Linked DNA regions of Caenorhabditis elegans. The protein of the gene in region 1 interacts with the protein of each later gene in a pairwise test. Each region holds a gene or a part of one and is shown on either strand. Other genes may lie near its edges.

The links. Proteins that work in one complex are often made in the same cells at the same time.
Region 2: the proteins of pas-4 (region 1) and Y105C5B.19 interact in a two-hybrid assay, tested with the Caenorhabditis elegans proteins (2 studies listed by BioGRID).
Region 3: the proteins of pas-4 (region 1) and C56C10.7 interact in a two-hybrid assay, tested with the Caenorhabditis elegans proteins (3 studies listed by BioGRID).

What each region holds. Positions count from the first base shown.
Region 1 is NC_003279.8:8,726,667-8,730,031, reverse strand, and holds pas-4 (Proteasome subunit alpha type-7), read left to right. Parts: upstream 1-1,544; coding exon 1,545-1,643; intron 1,644-1,904; coding exon 1,905-2,156; intron 2,157-2,202; coding exon 2,203-2,499; intron 2,500-2,579; coding exon 2,580-2,693; 3' UTR 2,694-2,814; downstream 2,815-3,365. Other genes in the region: rpb-3 (DNA-directed RNA polymerase RpoA/D/Rpb3-type domain-containing protein), read right to left, coding at 68-195, 241-329, 379-626, 779-904, 952-1,086, 1,141-1,263. UniProt on the Caenorhabditis elegans protein: The proteasome is a multicatalytic proteinase complex which is characterized by its ability to cleave peptides with Arg, Phe, Tyr, Leu, and Glu adjacent to the leaving group at neutral or slightly basic pH.
Region 2 is NC_003282.8:15,981,061-15,985,909, forward strand, and holds Y105C5B.19 (Major sperm protein), read right to left. Parts: upstream 2,911-4,849; coding exon 2,248-2,910; intron 1,700-2,247; coding exon 1,562-1,699; intron 1,514-1,561; coding exon 1,280-1,513; intron 1,218-1,279; coding exon 1,121-1,217; exon of another isoform or gene 1,117-1,120; intron 1,032-1,116; coding exon 941-1,031; intron 896-940; coding exon 788-895; intron 742-787; coding exon 618-741; 3' UTR 515-617; downstream 1-514.
Region 3 is NC_003280.10:6,583,907-6,589,171, reverse strand, and holds C56C10.7 (putative trafficking protein particle complex subunit 13 homolog), read left to right. Parts: upstream 1-1,602; 5' UTR 1,603-1,693; coding exon 1,694-1,745; intron 1,746-1,790; coding exon 1,791-1,959; intron 1,960-2,006; coding exon 2,007-2,091; intron 2,092-2,416; exon of another isoform or gene 2,417-2,491; intron 2,492-2,564; coding exon 2,565-2,689; intron 2,690-2,789; coding exon 2,790-2,907; intron 2,908-2,957; exon of another isoform or gene 2,958-3,001; coding exon 3,002-3,010; intron 3,011-3,059; coding exon 3,060-3,175; intron 3,176-3,560; coding exon 3,561-3,753; intron 3,754-3,797; coding exon 3,798-3,898; intron 3,899-4,359; coding exon 4,360-4,597; 3' UTR 4,598-4,751; downstream 4,752-5,265. Other genes in the region: icd-1 (Transcription factor BTF3 homolog), read left to right, coding at 532-606, 651-764, 811-919, 969-1,097, 1,147-1,205; dbd-7 (DB domain-containing protein), read right to left, coding at 4,804-5,076, 5,122-5,217.

The DNA of each region.
Region 1 (3,365 bases):
CAGGAGAGATACGAAAATCAACGAGAAGAGTTAATAATAACGTAAATAAATTAGAGATCCAAATAGTTTACTGCTGCTGGGCATGAGCTTGAAGTTCATTTGAAAGAGCCATATTTAGTTCCTCCAGTTTTCTCTTCAAGATTCCGATTCCCATTGTCACGATTCGCTGTGCTGGAAGAGCACCAGTTCCTTCGACTGAAACATTTAAAATTATAAGCAAAATATCTGACCGTGACTTACTAGAGAACCAGAACTTGTTAGGCTTGTTGTCCGGCTCGAATGGTGCCTCCTTTTCAGTGCTGTCTTCTGGTAAAGATGAATGATCGCTTCTGCAAAAAAAATGTACGAAATTCACAAAATACTGATAATAGTTCTTACCTTGGCCATTCCTCAACATTCGGATAAATTGTATGTCGGAGAGCATTGTCTGGATCATATTCAAATGCAACTCCACAGGTGGGATTCCATTTTGCATGTTCCTTTCCGAAACCCTTTTTAACATAGGCTTTTAGGTTAAGCTCTTGTCCCTTACGCAATTTTACAATCAGAATCTCTTCTCTGTTGTGAAATTCGTCACGGGTCGATCCACGCTCACGTAGTGCTTTTCCACAAGCTGGTCGGACGGTCTGTAAAATTCCAATTCAAATATTTATCAAATGTAGTGAAGTACGGACCCTAATAAGATTGCTCATCGATTTTATTTAAACGTTATTAATATTATTATTGAAATTTAATTCACTCCATTAAAAAAAAATGAGTTGCATTTTTTTAAATTTACCGTGTCTAAATTATGCATTGGCATTAGATGCTCGGTAGTAACAGCCAAAGTAGCTTCATCTTTACATTTCATCTGCAGAATGAACGGTATCGAACACTCATCGCAGAACTCGGCACATTCACAATCCTAAAACCAACATTTAAAAAGTTGTGAAAGATTCAACCCTATCTTACTCTGGTGTATTGCATTTTTTCGACATGATAATCAGATATGAACGGAATCAAACCCATGCGATGTGCAATAAATTCGTCGTGGAGGACAGAAGTGTTAGTTTCAATTTGAACCCAATCAATAGCTATGGTTGGCACCTGAAATGTAATTAAAAATATAGAAAGAGTAATGGTAAACAGGAAACAACTCACTTCTGCCATGAAAACTCGTCTCAGTGAATTTGCGACACTCAAATCAGTGTCCCACAGTACAAACTTGATTATATCATTTGTCAGTTCGGTAACCTCGATGTTAGGTTGATTTGCGTACGGCATTACTAAAAATGATTATTATAAGGAAAAATGAAAAATCTAATTATTGAATTGAAAACATTTAAGTCGAACAGAAATTCAAAACAAAACGTCGCTAAACAACACGCACATTCGTTATTTCGGAGTGTCGTTTCAGGTTCTCGGTTGGTAAGCGAAGTACGGTAACACTCATTTCAACTGTGCGCTTTTGTCACTGCACAATTTCAAATAATCATTTTTTAATTATTTTTTCGTTTTAAAGTTAAAAATGGTTCAGAGTTATTTCAAATTTTAAAATTTTTCAGATGAACAGATACGATCGTGCTATCACTATCTTCTCCCCTGATGGACACTTGTTCCAAGTGGAATATGCCCAGGAAGCTGTCAAGAAGGGTTCGACTGCGGTGAGTGGTTCCCCTGATGAAAATCAGTTGGCAGAAAATTATATGAGTTGCACTTTCATATGAATATGATATCAGCTAGAATTGAAGCACCCGATTCAAGAAGATTTTAGATCTATTTATCGTTTTATATTTAAAAATAAATCAAAAAATTCAATGTAGATGATTGATATTATCTATCTAAAAATCTAAAATTTCCCGAATTATGGTTCAAAATAATACGGTTATTTTTAAAACCTCAAGTTATAATTATGAATGTTTCAGGTCGGTGTTCGCGGAAAGGATTGCATTGTTATCGGTGTTGAGAAGAAGTCAATTCCAGCTCTTCAAGATGACCGCACAATCCGTAAAATTCATATGATCGACGACCATGTGATGCTCGCTTTTGCTGGATTGTCCGCAGATGCTCGTGTTCTTGTTGATCGTGCTCGTATCGAGTGCCAGTCGTACAAGTTGACTCTTGAAGATCCAGTTACCGTTGCCTATATCTCCAGATATATTGCAAACACGAAGCAGGTATAAATATTTTATTTATGCAAGCATAACTTTTACTGATTTTCAGCGCTTCACACAATCTCCAGGACGTCGCCCATTCGGAATTTCAATGCTCATTGGAGGATTCGATCATGACGGAACTCCACGTCTTTTCAAAACCGAGCCATCTGGAGCTTACTACGAGTACGTTGCCAACGCGACTGGAAGAGGAGAGAAACCAGTGCGTGAATACCTTGAGGAGCAATACAGCGAGGAAAATACTGTCGACGAAGCTACCACTCTTAAATTGGTTGTAAAGTCGCTGGCTCAGGTCGTACCACCAGGATCACAAAATATCGAGATTGCAGTCATGAAAAAAGTTAATGTAAGTGATTTCCACCTGAGATTATTTTCAGTAATAACATTTTTTTAAATTGAAGATGGTCCTTAATTTTAATTTTTTAGGATGAGCTGCAGCAACGTGTATTGTCAACTGAAGAAATCGAGGCTCTCCTGAAGGTTGTTGAGACAGAACGTGTGGCTGCTGAGGCTGAAGAGGCTGCATCCAAGAAGAAGTAGATTCGAACTTTTGTCTTCTGTCCATTATCCGTGTGTATTGATTTCCCAGTTATCTGCTCCCCTTTTCAAAACCTAATTTATTTTATTCATCTTTATTGACGGGAATGAAAAAGTTTTCCCTAAAATCTTCGAAATTCCTTTAAAACCATGAAAAGAAAGAAGCTATATATTCGAAATGACAAGATAATTGTGGGGTTCATTTGAAAAAAAGAGAAAAATATATATAAAGAAAATTCCAATTCGGCGAGCAATGGTTTCTGAAACTTCTAGCTTTCTGAAATATGGTATCCTTAAATGAGATTTGTTTTATAAGTTAACCTACATTTTCGAATAGAACGCATAATCTCTGCAATAATAATCACAGTCATTTTTTTTCCTGAAGTTCATTTTTCATTCAAAATTCTTCGATGAACCGATTGAAGTGGCAGTGGTTATGCAAATTGTTCTATACATTTCCTCTCCCAAGCAGAGGACCTTTTCGGTGAAATTCCGAATAAAAGTGAGCGGTACAAAAAGAGGGAAAGGAGGCAAATTTGAATATATTTCATTTATAAGCCTTCAAAAGTCTCCTCCTAGACTTACAAGATGCCATTGCCCTACGGCTACTTTTTTTTTCAAATATTAGATCTATTAATTTTATTAGATCTATTAATAAGATCTAATTTTTATATA
Region 2 (4,849 bases), on another chromosome or scaffold:
TTCAAACTTTTTTTCCAACTATAAAAGTGAAAAGAGCTATAAAAAATGCTAAAGTACTTAAGGGCACTGAAATCTTTTTAAAGTTGGAGTTGAACATCATCTGAGCCGATGATCTCTGAGATCAATAAATTTAATTCATGTTGATGCTAACAGTTCCAATAAATGAACACCATGAAACAATTTTTATAGATTTTGTGCTCAAATTTGAAGTGAGCAACAGTTTTCTGCGCAGTAAAATTTTCACTGTTGACCCAAAACTATTTTTTAAACAGTTATTATTGATTCTTTTTAATTTATATTTAAGTAATATGCGACTCTACAAATTGTGGCTGGAAATATAGTAGAAAATCTCGAACAGAGCCAAAAATTGCACGGGACTGCAATTTCACAACAAAAACTTTTTACTATGGGACTAACATTTCATTTTAATTTTAGCTCATGTTTCACAACACATTGAAACAGTAAAAATTTGAAATTTTCAAATTATTGAAACCTTGAGAACTATGAGAGGAGCGCTGGAAAAACTTTTATATAGACAGCTGAAATGTTTTTTTTTCAGAATTGAAATACATAAGTTAATAGAAAAGTCAACAAAATATAACAATTTCAAAAACAAATTATTCCATTTCCACTTCCTCTTCGTCATTGAAAATTTCTGATTTTATACTTCCTTCTGGGTTTTCTTCGTTTACCTGATAGTTACACATCATTTCTGAGCCATTTGGGAAAATTAGTCGGGATCTGAAAAAAATTATCGATTTTTATAAAACTCAATGAAATCACAAACTCTTTGAGCTCTCCATCCTCCTTGCGGAGTTGCTCTCGGAGCCATCTTGTGGCATCTTCACTTGCTTCGTTTCCATACATTTTGTTGTGGCGGCCTCTCACACGGTCTCTGAAAAATAAATTTAGTACTGAGCCCTGAGACAGTAAAACTCACAACTTATTGCCCATAACGTCGGTGACCAGCTTCCTCACTCGAAACTTCAGGTCTCGCGATTGTTCTTCGCCGAACCCACCGAGTATGTACTCTGGAAGAGGAACATGGTTTTTTTAATATTAAATTTCCTACTGTTTCAAAGAATTTATAAATTTTTGGTGAAACGTGTGGAAAACTAACCAGCAAACCCTTCGAAAAAGTCCCTAGCGATGGGAATATATGTAGAAGCGTTTTGTGAAGTTGCGTAGCACATCATATGGGGGTCCGCAATGGCAACCTTAAATTTTTGGAGTTTACGCAAGATTCTATAAAGTCTACGCAAGACTCCACTAAGCATACCTTATCGAAAACCGTTCTCGCCAGAGCTCTCACAAGAGTCACCAAGTTAGCCGTCGACCAATTCGACACATCTCCATCCGTCACAACATCGGAAATCATGAACCATTTCCTGCTGGGCAACGTCAAAGCTCTGTCAAACTTCTCGGCTGAGTCAATTGAGAATGCCTTGTTCGTTGTGATCGGTTCCGTGATTTTCTCCGCTTTTCGAGAAATCTTCCTGTGCTGCTTGTTTGCCTGAAAGCGAATTTTTTTTAATTTTCGAAACTTTTGGAAATTGCTCACCATCGCCGTAGTGAAAGCCATTCCAAGTGCCATTTCCTCCATCAAATTCTGATTTTGTGTTCGACACCGCTTGGCGAAATTGAGCCATTCGTAGTAGTCAACATCACGGTCATTTTTGATGAGTTTCTCCAGGTTTTTCTGAAAAATTTGAAGATTTATTTGGCAGGGCTAAGGTCTTGACTACAATGATGTACTGTAAGCAACTGACATCTTACGAGTTAGACTGCAAATTCCGTGGTGGGCCCGTAAAATGTCGGCTGCTAGCAACAGCAGTTTTAAAAGAGTCCACGGGTAATATTTTGTTCCTATAAACAAGCCGACATTTCACGAGTCTCAACATTCAATATTGTTCTAACTGGGCCATTGTGGTGTCGGCTGCTATCAAATTTCAAGCACTTGGATTTCAGCTCCCGACACTTTGCGAGTTTCTTTAACAATACTGTAAAGCACCGACTTCTGCTTCCGTTCGTTCGTTTTAATGTCGGCTGCTAGCAAAAGCAGTTTTAGAGGAGTTCGCGGTGAGATTTTGTTTCTACAAGCAAACCGACATTTCACAAGTCTCGCCATGCAAACTCGTTATTCTAACTAGGCCCGTGCAATGTTGGCTGCTATCAGATTTCAATCGTCTGAACTTCAGCGCCCGACACTATACGAGTTGCTCTAGAAATAATCCCCTCAAAACCTACCTCACAAGTCTTCCGATCCAATGGTTCCCCTTTCGCATAATCGTACAATTCGGAAGCAGCGAATCCAATCGGCAACCACATCCCATGCTTAGAGGCCTGAAGAAGGGGTGCCGAAGATGTTTGAGCAATTGGAGATGAGCTGTACTCTATCGGAAGGGTCTTACGACGAACCATCCCATCTCCATCCAACCAATCACGACAGAACTGCTTGGTGGATCCTTCAGACGTATTGGTCCATTCGACAGTGATACGGTCATTTGTGGTATCTACTTGTCCGAATGCAAAAGCATCGCAGGAAATTGTTAGAAGAATCTCCTCACTTGGATCGAGTACTCCACAATTTGGAGTGCACATCGTATCAACTCTGAGTCTTTTCATATATGTATTGATTCCATAAGCAATACGAAGAGCCGAAGTATTGATTAATTTGATTTTAGATTCTTGGTTTTCATTGTACGGAGCATTGAAGATGATTTTGCTCGGTTGGAAGTCAATTTCTCCTGGTGGAAGGGATTGAGCCATCACGGGGGAAAATTCTCGGGGTCTTTTAGGCTCAAAATCCTGGTAAACCTTATGTTCGACTGGAGCAACTAGAAGATCTTCCGGTTTTTGTTCGCATAGGAGTGGATACGGAGCAGGTCTTTTTGAAGCTCGGCGGGACATCTGAAAATTGAATTTTTTTTAGATTTTGAGCGTTCAAATAAAATTCAAAAAATCAATAGTGATAATCGACGTGGTGTCAGGTACACACATTCGGTTTGATCTACGAAAAATGCGGGAATATTTATTCATAAAAATTGTGACGTAAGCACGCTCTAAACCATGCAAAATCAGATGATATGTCTGCGTCGCTGCTCCCACATTTTTTGAAGGTCAAAGCAAAATGGGACTTTCTGACTAGCACTCGTTTTTTTTAAATTAAAAAAAAGATTTGAATTAAAAAACCGCGAATTTTCAAAATTAGTGAATAACAATATAAAATTCACGAGAAACAAGAAACAACACAAAATAAAAACCGATAAAATCGAAAACGTCACCGCACGGGAAGCATTGTTTGCGCGCAATGCCTCCCGCCGCGAGTTGAGAGACCGAATTAGTGTGAGAGACGCAGGTGGTGGTAAGAGAAATGACGAGAGACGCAGAGAAAAGGAACGTTTCAGGACAACGGACGTTGGTTTACGAGAGGGGGGTTTGGAGCGTTTTTAGTGTTTATTGATTGGTTTTGATTAGAATTTTGAATTTTTCGAGCGTTTGCCCCACAACAAAGAGATGGCAAATATTAAAAAAAAACTGTTAACTGTTAGAGAAAACATCTACTGTTTAAACAACTAAGCATAAAAGAAAAATTAAAATAAAAAATTAATTAATTGAAAATACTGTTTCAAGTTTGTATTTAATATTGATGTAACTTTTTTAAAATGCTGGGGAAAATAAAAATAATTTCACTTTTTCAACTGCAAATCATAGCTCCAAGAACAACTTGACATATTATTGGACTGATAATCTGTTGTTTCGGGAACATTTGTTAACGTTTATTTTTTCAAAGATAATTCCCTATAAATGATTTTTAATGAAAGAAAAACGCGGAAATCCTATAATTTGTTTTGCATTTCGAGAATTGAAATTACAGTTTCAAGTAGACTTAAAATTACTAGATAAATTTGATCATTCAATAATGCTTTTAAGTTTGTCGAAATTTCGAAGAAAAAAAATTTGTGAAACTGCTTAAATTTTCAGAAATTAATATTATAAAACTGACTAGTTTCATTATTGTTCGTGTATTGGAAATATTTGAAAATTAGCTTTTACTGCACTGATTTATATCTCATATAGGTGAGTGAAACTCGGTAGATGTCGGGCGCTCATATTTCGTTAGCGTTAGGCGTTCTTGAGAAACCCCACAAGTAATGTGGAATAATGTGTTGATTATCGGGTTTTTTTTTCACTGTTAAAACGACTGGAAAGGTCGAAGGATCTATCTACTAAAAATAGTTACTCAAGTTTTTCTTTTGAAAACCAGTTGAAACATCTCTGACAAAATTCAGATTTCTTTTCTCAAAAAAGTGATTTGAAATTTATAAAATAATTGATATTTCTAGAACACATTAAACAACTTTATGAAACTGTTTTTGGTGTAAAATCATTTTAAATGAAGGAAAAACGGAAAAATCATATAATTTTTTACGTTTCGAGAATTGAAATTACTGTTTCAAGTAAGAAATAAGATTTCAAGAAAAGTTTACTTATTCAATAGTAATTTAATGATATGACAGTAATTTAATTCAATGAAAAAAATTGAACCATTTTCCTTCAAAAATTATCAAACTTTTCCACAGTTTTCGAACTTAAACTACTGCGAAGCCTAGCGCGCTTGACGCGCTAATCTACCGTTCTAACTTTATAAAATTCATAATCAGTAAAATTTATGAAATAATCAAAATTTTAAAGAATAAGTATTTTAAAATGTTATATTAGATACCTTATCTGCTATTCAAAAGAATGAATTGAAATATAAATAAAACGCTCCCAAATATTTTAAATGCCATCTGCATTTCGATCAATCTAGCAACAGTTTAGGAAGTTGTTTTTTATTCATGAGCGT
Region 3 (5,265 bases), on another chromosome or scaffold:
AGAAAATTGCGAAATAGCTTTGACATTTTAATGATGAAGCGAGATATAGAGAAATAGAGAAAGAAAGGAGTATGAGAAACGACGAGACAGAGAGGGTGAGAGGAAAACGACTGGCAGCAAGCCAGATTCTGCGTATGTGCCCCTTACCCCTATATCAAGAAATTTTAAAGCAAGGGGCACATACGCACGGAATGTTCGGGTCTCGCGAAAAAATTTTCTACCGTTTCGGTGATTTTTTCTGAATTTCATTGTTTTTGACTTCTTTCTATCTTTTTAGATTCTATTTCATTATTGTTTACACCATTTTCATAATTTTCTGTCGATCTCGTAGGTGTATTCGTTTCCGTGCCTGAATTTAGGCTAAAACTGATTCGATTGATAAACTTACATTTCCGTTTTTCGCGTTTGTCCGCATTTTCCCCGTCCCTTTGTTATTTTAGGAATAAATATTCTTAACTGGCTTTATCCTTTTTGTTCTCACGTTTTCACGTCTTTAATTATATTTTTCGTCTTCAGGTAATCCTTCCAAAAATGGATAGCAAGGCTATTGCGGAGAGAATCAAGAAGCTCCAAGCTCAACAGGAGCATGTCAGAATTGGAGGAAAGGTAAATATTTAAATTTATAATTTTATCTCTCCTATTTCTTTCAGGGAACTCCACGCAGAAAGAAGAAGGTCATCCACAAGACCGCTGCTGCCGATGACAAGAAGCTTCAAAGCAACTTGAAGAAACTCTCTGTCACCAACATTCCAGGAATCGAGGAGGTAAACTTTGATTTAAAGTATTAATTTAATTTCTGTAACTTTTCAGGTCAACATGATTAAGGACGATGGAACCGTTATCCACTTCAACAACCCAAAAGTCCAAACCTCTGTTCCAGCCAATACCTTCTCTGTCACAGGATCAGCCGATAACAAGCGTAAGTATTGCTCATTGGCTGAATGTTTTTAACCTTACATATTTTGCAGAGATCACTGAAATGCTCCCAGGAATCCTCAACCAACTCGGTCCAGAGTCCCTCACCCACCTCAAGAAACTTGCCAACAACGTTACCAAGCTCGGACCAGATGGAAAGGGAGAGGACGAAGATGTGCCAGGTTGGAAAATCATAAAAGATTTTTTTTAAATAACAGGTTCATTTTTCAGAACTTGTTGGAGACTTCGACGCCGCCTCAAAGAACGAGACGAAAGCCGATGAGCAATAAATCACTACCCTTTCATCGACCAATTCGCGAGTTTTGTGAGATGAACGGTACGGATAGCATCCGCATTAGTATATCCCATTTTTCTTGTTACTGTTGATCGATTTCAATGAATCTCTTTAAAAAAATACTTGCTCTGTCACCTTTTTTTCCGCCCCCATTAGTGTTCGTTGTTATACTTGTTTTGTATACAAATTTATTCCCGATCCTCAAATGGCTAATAAATGTTAGCTATGTATTTAAAGCAAGCTTTCTACGTTCCGATGATTTTGAATTCTTAGGGGTTCCGGGGATCCTTCTAGTAATATCTGTTCCTCGGTGTTTATTTTCCGTTATTTTGGGTAGTTTTCCACTGACTTCCATTTTGTTAAACTCAATAAAAGTTGCACAAATATTCCAGCTCGAAAGAATATTTTGTAAGGTTAGAAATTCCGAAAAGTTATACTGTGATTTCATCCCGGCGGAAAGCTAATTATTTATAAATCAGGACAATGGCTGACAATCCTGCAAGTTCTTCTTCACAACAGCTTCTTGCTCTGCGGGGTAATTTTAGTTCTCATCATTAATCAATCATAGCTTCGATTTTAGTTATGAGATTGGCTCGTCCAAAATTTGCTCCTGTCGATGGTTTCTCCCACGATCCCGTCGATCCTACAGGATTCGGTGAACTTCTCGCTGGAAAAGTTTCAGAAATATCGAAAGAATCTCGACAAGATCTTCCAATCGGCGAATATTTGATTGCACCACAAATGTTCGAGTGAGTCGATTGATCAAGGCGCTGTTTAAAAAACCGTTTCGTTTCAGAAATATCTATCTGGGAGAGACGTTTACTTTCTATGTAAATGTTGTAAACGAAAGCGAGAAGACTGTCTCTAGTGTGAGCCTAAAAGTAAGTAAATGGACTCATTTTTTAAGATAAAAAGTAAAAAAAAATTAAATTTCTTCGCTCACTGGAAATTCAAACTGGTTGCTGCGGAATTTATCGATTTTCATAGTTTTTTTATATTAAAACGAAAACTCAAATTAATGATAAAATAATTCAAATTTCACCAAATAGAGAAAAACGTTGAAAAATCGATACAAATTCCACAGCAACAAAATTTTGAAACCACAGTACTCCTGAAAGGCGCGCTCCCTTTTCGCAATTAACTAAAATTTGTCGTGTCGGGACCGGCCACTCTATTTTCGATACAAAATGCGCATCTGGGTAATATGAGCAAATTAATTTCACTCCAGATTTGCAGTTTCAGCTTTCTTAGTTGTGAAAAAGTGAATTTCCAAAATTCCAGGTATTTAACATGTAACAATTATCAATTTTCAAAGACCCCATCAATATTCCTTTTTAAAAAAGATTTGTTTCAGTGTGAGCTTCAAACATCAACTCAACGAGTTGTTCTTCCATGTTCCGTTCAAGACGCAACAATCGAATCTTCAAAATGTGAAGGACAGGTCATCAGTCACGAAGTGAAAGAAATCGGGCAACATATGTAAGTTTTCCTGTTTAATCTCTCTCTGGTTTTCCTCCATTTTCTCAAAATCTTCCCCCCGTTGCCATGACACCTTTGCATTAACTTTGTTCTTTTTTAGACTGATATGCTCGGTCAACTACAAAACATCGAACGGCGAGAACATGTATTTCCGGAAATTTTTCAAATTTCCAGTATCGAAACCGATTGATGTGAAAACAAAGTTTTACAGTGCCGAGGTGTGTGAGATTTTGTAATAAATATTAATTTTATTTGGTCAATTTTGCATGTTTCGTCCAACCGAGTGCTGTGTATAAATGTCGTTTTCTTTAGGACAATGCGGTGAGAACTTTAAAATATTTTATTTTTGTCTAAATTATGTTTCTTTCAGAATCAAGATGTCTACCTCGAAGCCCAAATTGAAAATACATCAAATGCGAATATGTTCCTGGAAAAAGTCGAGTTGGATCCAAGTCAACATTATAATGTTACTAGTATCGCTCATGAGTACGTACTACATATTACGGGAATACAAAATTCTGAGTATAATTATTGCGCAAAATATCTTTTAGCGAAAACTACAGTAACTTTTTAAATGTCTACTATAGCGCTTGTGTCGATTTCCGAAAATTTATTTATCGAACAAATATTGAAATTAAAGAAAATAATACGAAAAAACGAAGAAAAATGGATTATCGCTGTCACTATTCGAACAGAAATTCGTTTCGAAATCTAGCCCGTAAATCGACATGAGCGCTACAGTAGGCATCTAAAGAATTACTGTAGTTTTCGCTACGAGATATTTTGCGTGTCAAGTATGTTGCGCAATACGCATTTCAGAATTTTTAGGACCGTAATATATAGTATTTATATTTTTTAAAAATATTTATAGGGATGAATTTGGCGATGTTGGAAAACTTCTGAAACCAAAAGACATTCGTCAGTTTTTGTTCTGTCTAACACCAGCCGATGTTCATAACACACTTGGATATAAAGATTTGACAAGTATTGGAAAGTTGGATATGTCATGGAGAACGAGCATGGGAGAGAAGGGACGGCTCCAAACTAGTGCTCTTCAAAGAATTGTAAGTTTCACTTCTTTTGATAGAACATATTGAAACGAGTTTAGGCACCTGGATATGGAGATGTTCGACTTTCTGTCGAGAAGACGCCAGCATGCGTAGATGTTCAGAAACCTTTTGAAGTGTCTTGCAGACTTTACAATTGCTCGTAAGTCGATTATATTCTAACAGACGCGAAATTTTGTGATTTTTGACACAAAAATACCGTAACCGGTCTCTACATGGCAAATGTTTGTGAAATGCGGAAATGCGTGCGCCTCTAAAGATAACTAACAAAAAAAATTTAGTTGCACTAAAATTTTTATTGAATACATAGCATTTTGATAAAATCTATTTATTTATTAAAAAATAAATATAACAATAAAAATAAATTTTAGTAAACCGTGCGAAAAACTGAAAAATCGATTAAAATTCCACAGCAACGAAAGTTACAGCGAAAGAAGCGAAAGAACTACAGTACTTTTTAAAGGCGCACTCCCTTTTCGCATTTAACAAAAAATTGTCGTGTCAAAATCGGGTACCATATTTTTGGTGGAAAATCACGAAATTTTTTCGTCTGGTTAATAATATTTTCATTAAAAATATTTGAATGTAATTTCTAATTTTCAGAGAAAGAGCACTTGATCTACAACTTCGACTTGAACAACCATCGAATCGTCATCTTGTTTTCTGTTCACCATCCGGAGTCTCTCTCGGACAACTTCCTCCTTCACAACATGTCGACTTCTCTCTCAACGTTTTCCCGGTTACTGTAGGAATTCAAAGCATATCAGGAATACGGATCACCGACACATTCACCAAAAGAATCTATGAGCACGACGATATCGCTCAAATTTTCGTCAGTTGAACAGCTACAACAATTTATAACACGTTTGATTTGTAAATAGACTGATACTTGTGTAGTTACTTATGTATTTCAGTAATTTATTTATTTATTTTTGGTTGTGAAAGAATGGATTAAAATATGAAGGTGATGACGTGTGGGAACGCGTCGATAAATATATATTATACAGACACAAAGACAATGGCTGAAAATTTAAAACTAAAATTCTTCTAATATTTTCTAGATCTTTCAGCAGCATCATGCCAGAAGCACGATTTCATATTCTCAAAACGATCGTAGCAAGATACGTAGGAATAGTCAAGAAGTGTCACGTTTCCAGGTCTCTGATCACAGAATGTTAAACATTTGTCACCAGCAAGTGTAGTCGTGACACCGTTTCTTGTACAGCATGCACGATGATCTCTTCCTTGAGCGGCACAGAATTGAATTTCGGCAGAAGCAGCTAATGGGCATGAATCTTGACGGAAGTACATACGGGTTAACTGAAATTGATATTTAAGATGTTTGAATTAGTTTTGATAAATTACCGATTCCTTAGTGTAAGTATTGAATGTACATTTCTGAAGACATGCATCTGGTAGACCTCTTTGCTCACAACATTGCATGAATAACGCATTGGGATCCTACAAAAATAGAAACCGGTTCAAAAAGAAACAATGACTATAAAAAGA